Linked DNA regions of Sus scrofa. The protein of the gene in region 2 interacts with the protein of the main gene of each other region in a pairwise test. Links are inferred from orthologs where the notes say so. Each region holds a gene or a part of one and is shown on either strand. Other genes may lie near its edges. The genes, in order: TSSK3, EFHC2 and PLOD3.

Region 1 (3,050 bases), on a different chromosome or scaffold from region 2:
ACAGCATTAAAGAGATTCAACAGAAGCTGGAAAGTGTCTGGGGGTCTGTTCTTGTCCCCACAGCAACTGCCTAGAGCCAGAGCAGGGTGGCTTCCTACTTAGAGCCTGGGGGAGGGTTGTGGTGGGAGGTAGCCTGGGTCCTGAGGAAGTCCCTTGTCCTCATCCCAGACTCGGCTCGGCCTTTGGGATGAGGAAGGGCCAAGCCCCCAGCAGGCCTCTCACCAAGACAAGGAGTCAAGAGGCTGTTCTGCATTCCCAACGCTTCTGCTTTTATTTGGAAAGGAAGTTGCAACAACAGTTTTTTCAGTTGCTCTTGGTCATTTTTCTCCTGTCCTCCCCCTGTACGTGTATGATTCTGGGGACTGTTTTTAATTAACTTTAGTTAAACACCGGTATGAAAATCACTTGTCAGCCGTAATAAAAGGGAAGTCTGAATGAGGCCCTCTCGTTCCATGAAGATCTTTAAAGGGAAAGAGAAGTAAGGCTGGGGAGGGTATAGGTAAGATTTAGGATAAGTAAACTTAAAGTGTAAAATATATATCAACATTTTAGAAGCGGGTTTTTGGGTTTGCTTTCTCCCCCTGCTTTATTGGGGAGGACTTGCCATTGCTTTTATCAAGTGCTTGCTAGCCATGGATGCCAACTAACTTCTTCAATTGAAGGCCGGAGGGTCATGTCTGGTTCCAGGAGCCGCTTCAGCAAGTCCTGGCATTCGGCTGAGATGCCCAGATGAGTGGGGAAGGACACCCCTTTCTGCTGCTGCCACAGCATCTTGGGGATGTCTGTGTCATCAAAAGGTAGGCTGGCACAGAGCATGACGTACAGGACCACGCCCATGCTCCAGATGTCCCCTTTCTTGCTATCGTGGGGAATACCCTGCAGTACCTCGGGGGCGGCATAGGCTGTGCTGCCGCAGAAGGTCTGGCTCAGCTCCCGGCATGACTTGGGCAACACCTTGGCGAAGCCAAAGTCTGTCAGCTTCAGGTTGAAACCCTGCAACAAGGCGTTCTCGCATTTGAGGTCCCGGTGGGCCACACCACAGCCATGGCAGTAGCGGATGGCCTCGACCATCTGACGGAAGAGGGCCCTGGCCCGGCTTTCAGGCAGTGGCCCTCCATTCAGCACGCAGTCAAAGACATCCCCTCCTTCAGCCAGCTCCATTACCAGGTAGATTTTCCCGTCAGCAGACTCCAGCATCTCATACACTTGAATGATGTTCTTGTGGTCCAGGGTACGGACAATCTGGAGCTCCCGAGGCAGGAATCTCTGGATAAACTCTAAGGACACAAGGGAAAAGAGAAGGAGTGTCAAGTCCAGAAGGGCCTAGAACTCCTCTCCTGACTCCTGCCTTCCAGCTCTGGCCCACCATGTCTGGGTCTTGTGCCTTGGTTCCCTTGCACAGCCTTTAACATCCAGCTATTTGGACACTGCAAAGAATGTTCACCCCTGTTGTTTTTGTAGCTAATATATTATTCAGAGGAACTGTTCCCTGTCAGCCTCAGGGACCGTTGTGAGCAGCCTGTGAGACCGTGGATATCAAAATGCTTTGGAGACTTTTTAGACAAAGCTGTTGAATCTTTTGTGAGGCCTGATTGCCCACAGCGTGGTGAGCCAGCTCCTCTCACCTCTGACTCCTGAGTCACAGTTCTTTCCATAAGCCCTGTCTTTTCCCAGTCTCTACCTTCCTTGGCCCCACTCCTGCCCTCTGCTAGTCCTGGCCACAGCCTTCCAGTCTCTTCCCGTCCTGGAATAGGAAAGCCCTGGTGGGCTTGGATTCTGTTTCTGAGGATCCTTCTACCTCCTGCAGATTTAATCTTGGACTTTGGAGGGTGTGATTGTCCTTGACACCCAGCATTCCTCTGTTCCCCACTGACCTACCCCAGAGCCACACTCCCTTGCTTTCCTTGGTTTCAGATCAAAGAGAAGGAGGAAATGGTCCTTCTGACTGGAGGAAGCGCCCACCCACTTCAGCCAGCCCTCCCTTCCTCCAAAGGGCCCCCAGCTCACCTTCTGGCCCTCCCATCTTGTCTATAATTTTAATTGCCACTTTTCTTTGGTGTTTTTTGGAAACTGCTTCCTTGACTTTTGAGTAGGTCCCTTCCCCAATGGTCTTGCCCAGCTGGTACCCATTGGAGAGCAGAAAGTCCTCCATGCTGTCTAACACCTCCTTCCTTCCTATTACCCTCTCAGCTCATGCTGCCTCTGCGAGGCAGCTCTACTCCACCATCGCCCTTGGCCCGCTCCTTTTCCCCCCAAGGACTTCATCCGCAGCCGCCCCCAGGGCTAAAGCATTCTCCGTCTGGAGACAGCAGCCGCAGGTGGTGGGGAGGGAGAGGGCCAGACATTTTAAAACTCTGGCCTAATTGTGATGTAAATGATGTGTGACTCTTGGCCAAAATGAGCAATGCTCCTATCTGCCCTCACCACCACCACCACCAAACCCTGTCCGGGTTCAGTCACTGCTGCGCCCCGACCCCGCGCCAGGCAGTGAGTCGCTCGCGGCCCCGCCTGTGGGGGGCGCTCCAGGGGTCTGCGCGCAGCCCAGGATGCCAGGCTCCTTTCGGCGGACGCCGCCTCCTGTGCCCCCATAGGGCAGCTCGGGGTCTGTGCGACCCATGGCATGAGCCCTCCAGCTCTTGGCTCGCCACCCCGCTAAGTGCCCGGGCAGCGTGAGGTTCCCTGGCCGGAGGAACGGGTTCTATGAGGTCACCGCGCCTCGGCCCGGGTCACAATGCAGCCTTCCCCTTCGACGCCCGGGAACGGACGCGCAGCAGACACCTGCCCGGATCCGCCTGGACCGGAGCGTCCTCCCGTGGCCAGGGCTCGGGCAGCTGCTTCCGGCCTGGGACCGGTCTCGGCCTCCGGCAGGTGAGCAACAGCCCAAGGGGCGGGCGCCGGGTGGGGGAGCCCAGCTGCCCGGTAGCGGCCTGACCGCTACTCCCCGCGCAGAGCGCCCCGGGGCCTGGACATGAGTGCCCAGGAGCCCCCTCAGGGTCGAAGATTCCCCATTGAGGCTGGAGACTCCCCCGGCCTTGCCGCCGCCCCTGAGT
Region 2 (3,655 bases):
AGTGACTCTTTCCTACACTGACGCCAACACCCAGCCTCCCTCCAGCCCAAAGGAAAACAGGACAACTCCAATGACCATGGCCCCCAAAGCTCGTTCACATCTGCCTCACAAGTACCAATACCTTTTACTGGCTCCAAAGGGATTCTCATCCTGAAGACAAAAGGCCATGGACAAATCAACTCACCTCTCTCCGGGTCTTCATGTAAGGATCTTCTGGACACTGTCCTGGGGGGTTTAATTTGACTCCTATTTTCTTCAAAAAGTTTTTTGTGAAAGTATCACAGTCATAAATCTTGAAGGTTCGACCATATAAGACAATGTCTACGTTGATATTGAAATGATACACGGTATAAAACTGATCCTCATCAGGAGGTGGGAGAGAAATCCGATGACGGCGGATAAAAATTCCTATGGTGGGACATGAAATACAGCTGTTTCAGCATGTGGCAAACCAGAAAGAGATCACAGCACATCTTTATAACAACCCTGAATGCACCACAGTAAAGCGGGCAAAGGGCTGGTTCTTGGAGGCAGTAGCATCCGTACGTTCAAACTCCGAGGGTGCCAGAGGAAGCTGAGACTTCTGAAGCCGCTTGCATGTTGTTCGCCTTGCATGTTGTTCGAGCTGCCTCAGTGGTGCTAGGAAAGGACTTGTTTTTATGGCCACACCTGTGGCACATGTGAGTTCCTGGGCCAGAGACTGAATTTGAGCTGCAGCTGCAACCTACGCCACAGCTACAATGCTGGATTCTTAACCCACTGTGCCACAGCAGGAATTCCAGGAAGGACTTGAATAAACCATAAAGACTAGGGCAGGAGGGAAGGAGGAGGGGTAAAACAGAGTGGCCTACTGAGCCAGACACTGTCATCATGTCTTTTCCCAAAATAGGCATGCTCACTTTCACCTACTAGCACTCAATGAGAGCAGACCAAACAAGCAACTAAGACATTTCTAACTTCTACAAGTATGAATGACTTTATGCTTCTTTGAAGCTTCTTAGAATCTTCTTTCCTCTACCAACCTCTTCCTCCTGTAGAGCCAACAATCCCCACAAAGTGAGGGTTATCAGAGGCTTCACAGTTTTAGACGGTGCTCTGAGCTAAAGGTTCTGGATCCTGTCCCATCTTCAACTTCCAACCCTATGATGCCCATTCACTTCTTCTCTTGAGAATATGGACCTCGGGTCCCCAAGTATCCCCAAGTGGTAATTAGCCACTGGAGGTAAAAAGGTTCCCTAACTGGATGAATGTACCAACTACACCATACCATACCCAACTCAGCCAAACACTGCTGAAACCTGTTGTCAAGAATTGTTAAGGGTTTGAGATTTTATTCTACTTGCAATTTATTCTGCCAGTTTGCCCACTATAGTTTCAGGGATGCTGGTAGAAGACATGAGATGCTTTGTTTAGAGACAAGCAACAGTTTATTACTCACAGTAATAACAGCAACCAGAACATCAGCATTTTGTACCAATTCCCACAGGATGACCCAACAAGGGCCAGGTAACTTCTGTACATGGGGTGGGTTACCTTATAAGACAGGAACCCTGGGCTGAGGGAACCCAAATCTTTTAAAATGGGCAACAGCATGCCTGGCTTTTCTGTCAGAGGGAAAGATGATCTTTATAAGACTGGACAGTAAACATATCTGCCCTTTGTTCTGGAGAGAGATACCACCTCTATCTTTCAAGGCTGTGAGCAAACCTGTACGTTGCTCCAGAAAGGAAAAACTCTCTTTTGTCTTCCAAAGCTAGGTGCTATATATAAACATCCTTGAAAAGACAGTCCGGAACAAAGAGCAGTCAGTACCTCTGCTTCCAAGATCCACAGAAATGCAAGATACCCGTAGAGATCTGAACCTCAACATCTGTAGAGTGACTTAAGCCTGAGAATCTACTCCAGGAACAAAGACACAAGGAGAAATGGCAAGCAGAGCAAACTGAGGCTCTAATGGTTCAAGAAAAATTGGCTTGTGTAACCTCTGTATAAAGATGTCAAGCAATCTTCTTCATATTTTATATAGCACTGAGAATGGTGCCTTTTCCCAAAGTCTAGAAATGCTTGGAAATTATTCATTCCTTATTCATTAAGGAACATTTAATGAATATCTTTATGTGCCAGGAAGTGTGCTGAGCTCTGTTCCATTATTCTACTAATCATCTTTTCACTATGTTGAGAGGAAATTAACTAAAATCATTTTCATCTTCTTTTCTTTGCAGCAATTTTTAATTACTTGGTACATTAAATTAAAATAATAAAACTATAAAATTAGAACGGGCCTAGAATATTTTTAAATGTACTACATAAAAGATGATACAATTTTACTGCAAAAAATTATACTTCAATTAGCCCTTAATTCATGCCACCGAAAACAGTATGCAAATTATTTAATCATTCAAGATTAGACATTTAGAACAAATTGCATACTTAAACACCCATAAAAGCATGGGCATTTCAGGTATTTTCAGGAACCATTATACAGCTCTTTAAAAATACTTATATTGTGACAGTTTTTAAAATATATAAGATGTATTCACCAGCCAGAGCTTCTTTAGGAATTCCATCTATCTCGCATTTGTACTTCATTATAAAAATTCAAATAAGTAAATGAGTGCTGATTTCTGATTTGAAGTCTGTTCTATGACTTCAAATAGGAATCCTATATTTTTCGAAGTGGGAAGAACTGGCCCACCCACTGAGCTTTTAAGTAATAATCATCACAGTCATCATCATAGCCCTGGGATGTGCTTTCATACGTGTTTCTCCTTTAATCTCCAATAATCCCATGAGGCAGATAATGCATGAAATACAAATATTCACTTTACGGATGAGAAAATCAAAGCTCAGAGTAGTTAAGGGACGCGCCCAAGGTCACATCCTCATAAATGACAGAAAGAGGTCTTGAATCTGGGTTTTTAAGCTCTAAGTAAATACCATTGCTTTCCACAGTTTGCACTGGACTGTATGTCACTGTGCTACAGCCACAGATTACTTAAGCGGAGGAGTGGAGGGAGTGTCTCAGGCGAAACAGGACAGAAATGGGGAGAAGAGTTGCCAGCCGCCATGAAAGAGAGATGCTGGAGCTCTTCTTCCAAAAGAAGTGCCTCTCACTTCCCTAAAAGTAAATTTCTGGAGAGGGCCCACTTGCCAGTGGCAGCAATCCCCACCCCAGGGCCAACACCACTGAGTCCCCTGCCCCTCCCTCCGCTTCCCTGAGGCATCCATGTATCTGTGACCTTCGCACTCTTCCTTATCCTTGGCCCCTTCTCTCGCTAGATGGTTCTCAGAAGACGCCAGGGAAGTTCTCTGTGGTAACAAGAGAGAGTCCCGACCATTCATGGGTTGAAAAAAGAAGGCAGGTCTAACACTAAATGAGAAAATTTTAGAAAACAAGAAATCCAAAGTCACAATGCCATGTTAATCAGAAAACTAACGTGGGCTGTTTCAAGTGTACAGTTACACATGAGAGCCTTCAAAGATATATCTGTGGGATCTCTCAACTGTGTCCTTTGGGGATTGAAATTTCTAGTTATTGGCATTTGTATGGTTATAGTCTTCCATGATAAATGGCAGAAACTCCACCAGCAGCAGTTTGTCCCGGAATATCAAAGAAACATGCAGGATGCCATGTCTTTGGCACAGGCTGATGAGC
Region 3 (2,449 bases), on a different chromosome or scaffold from region 2:
TGGAAGCAAGGCCAGCTCCAGGAGGTCTCCTCTTTTTCAAGGCTGCTTCCCATCCCTCTCTTCCAGGAAGCTTTCTTGGGTTAATCTTCCCGATTCCCTTCTGATCCAAAGCAGCTACCGTCAGGTTCCAGCCTGTCTTCCCTTATAGAACACCTGCCCCCAGGAGGGCCTTCCTTCCCTAGCACTGTCCCTGCAGCCCAGCTCAGGTCTGTGCCACCCCCAGCCTTCACACGAGGGAGAAGATGCCATCAGGAGAGGAGAGAATAGAAGAAGAGAGCTGAGGAGGTGGGTTTTCACCTGAGCCAGACAAGGGAGGCCCTTTTGGTCTGGCCCTCATGCTCAGGCGATGACAGGGAGTTAGATATGGGGTCGCAGGAAGCTTCCAGGCTCCCACTCTGCTTTGGCATCATGCTTCTGCCTTTTCGTCTTTTCTGTTCTTTTCCTTTGGAGTGACCCCGGTCTCCCCTTCACTCTGGGTGGCGGGAGGGACATGGGGTCCAGAGGTAGATCAAAGAATCAATGGACGCGAGAGTTACAAATCCTCCTTTATTGAGGGAGACTGAGAAACAATAACTTATTACATGGCGAACCCCTAGAAGCCCTCTCCCTGGGAATGCTTGGGGGCTGAGGAGCAGGGCAAGGGGGCTTCCTGAGCTTCCCGAGGGCCGAGGGCCGTGTGGTGGGGGCGGGGCAACACATTCAGTCCCAGACACACGGAACATGCGCCCGAGAGGCAGGGCACACCCCCTCCAAGGAGGGAGCGCGAGAAGGCACAATGGCAGGGAAGGTTGGGCAGAGTGGTTGAGTGTCAGGGGTCGACAAAGGACACCATGATATAGCGAGTGCCCCGTGTGGTGGGCAGCCCCTCATGGTAGTGGGTGAGACGGCCAGGGTGCAGGAGCCCCCAGCCCTTCCGTGGGGACGAGATCACACAGTCGTAGCGCAAGAAACGGCAGCCGCCTCCCTGGAGGATGAGAAGGGGACGGGGTGGAGTGTGAACAGGTGCGGGGACTGGGCGGCAGCCAGGCACCCTGGTGGCACCCTGAAGTGGAGCGTGGCAGGGACCCACCTCATAATCCAGGCCCTTGTGGTTGAGGGCAACGTTGAGGGTGAAGGTGGATGAGTCGTGATGGGGCCGCAGAGAGGGCTGCTCATCCGGCCGGTAGCGGACCACGAAGTTCATGACCGCCCGGGTCTGTGGGGACATGGGAGGAGAGGCTGGAGGTGGGGGTCCTGAGGTCTGGGGAGGGGGAGAGGTGGCAGGGGCTCTCATGCTACCCCCCCCCAGGGGGGCTGCCTTCCTGCAGGATTTCACTCCATGGGGTCCCAAATGCCTCAGGAACCCAAAAGGGTGCTGCATGGAGACGGCCAGCCGGGTTCTAGGAAGGTGGAGTCAGGGTAGCAGGTTCAGCGGTCACCTTGGTGTGGTAGCCTGGGAACAGGCTCTCGGTCATGGGCCCCACATATGTCCTCAGCAGCTGCAGCCACTGGTCCTCATAGCCCACCTGCTTCATGTGGATGTCTACGGTGGGCACATTCTCGTAGCCTCCAGCCAGCCTTGAATCCTGCGGGCAGTGGGCACTAAGCTGACAGGGCAGTGCCAGCTTCCTCATCTGCTCCCAGGCCTTAAAGCTTATGTTCCCTCCATCTGGAAGTCTTGACTCCTTAGCTTGACTCACTCCTGCTGGGCCTCTGAGTCTCAGGTAAGATGCCACCTCTTCTGTGAAGCCCCTTGGTCCCCCCATGTCTGGGGCATGGGCCCCTCCTGTGACTCCCACAGCACCTGGGCTGCCCAGCACAGCCTTTAGAAGCTGGGTCACTGCTGCTACTGACAGCAGGTGAGACCTAGGAGAGCAGGGCTCGACCCGTACAATTCATCAACGCACTGCACTGCCAAAGTCAGTGGCTGGCATCTAGGACCCACCTAGCATTTCTTGAATGAATGAATGAATACAGTTGTGCCCCTTCCACTTGGGGACCCCTTTCTGCTCCCACTCTCTAAATTTCATTTTCCTTTCACCAGCCCCAGCCTCTTCTTCCTCCCAGGGGCCCTCCTGCTCCCCTGCCCCAGCACCCCACCTCATGCCGGCCTCCTGACCACTGGCCGTAATGCTCCATTTCTTCCACCAGCTCATCACACATTTGCTCCGACAGCAGAGGGAACCAGTACACATCTGGGCAGGGCTGAGGACAGACGGGGCGGGGGAAGAACAGGGCAGGGTGACGCTCGGGGAGCGGATAGGCAGCCAGTGGAAGGGAGAAGAAGCAGGGAGCAGAAAGGGAAACCAGGCCATGAGAGAATGTGGAGGAATGGGGCTGGACCAGGAGAGGGTGGCCAGAGAAGGTGGGCCCAGTGCTGGAAACACTGCACAAATGGCACGGGAGTCCCAGGGCTCCCTGCCGGAAGCATCGTTTTCAAACTTGCTGTAAAAAAATGTCATTTCACCCA

The links.
Region 1: the proteins of EFHC2 (region 2) and TSSK3 interact in binary tests that used the Homo sapiens proteins (3 or more experiments, as listed by UniProt). The two-hybrid records come from large-scale screens. The link is inferred for Sus scrofa from reciprocal best matches to the Homo sapiens genes EFHC2 and TSSK3.
Region 3: the proteins of EFHC2 (region 2) and PLOD3 interact in binary tests that used the Homo sapiens proteins (3 or more experiments, as listed by UniProt). The link is inferred for Sus scrofa from reciprocal best matches to the Homo sapiens genes EFHC2 and PLOD3.

Annotation. Positions count from the first base shown.
Region 1 is NC_010448.4:88,809,125-88,812,174, reverse strand, and holds TSSK3 (testis-specific serine/threonine-protein kinase 3), read right to left. Parts: upstream 2,153-3,050; coding exon 2,008-2,152; exon of another isoform or gene 1,278-2,007; coding exon 616-1,277; downstream 1-615. Other genes in the region: protein FAM229A, read left to right, coding at 2,732-2,868, 2,950-3,050. UniProt on the Homo sapiens protein: Serine/threonine protein kinase required for spermatid development and male fertility.
Region 2 is NC_010461.5:39,520,916-39,524,570, forward strand, and holds part of EFHC2 (EF-hand domain-containing family member C2), read right to left. Parts: intron 409-3,655; coding exon 185-408; intron 1-184. UniProt on the Homo sapiens protein: Microtubule inner protein (MIP) part of the dynein-decorated doublet microtubules (DMTs) in cilia axoneme, which is required for motile cilia beating.
Region 3 is NC_010445.4:8,911,255-8,913,703, forward strand, and holds the end of PLOD3 (procollagen-lysine,2-oxoglutarate 5-dioxygenase 3), read right to left. Parts: intron 2,185-2,449; coding exon 2,080-2,184; intron 1,566-2,079; coding exon 1,419-1,565; intron 1,196-1,418; coding exon 1,070-1,195; intron 965-1,069; coding exon 809-964; 3' UTR 533-808; downstream 1-532. UniProt on the Homo sapiens protein: Multifunctional enzyme that catalyzes a series of essential post-translational modifications on Lys residues in procollagen. Plays a redundant role in catalyzing the formation of hydroxylysine residues in -Xaa-Lys-Gly- sequences in collagens.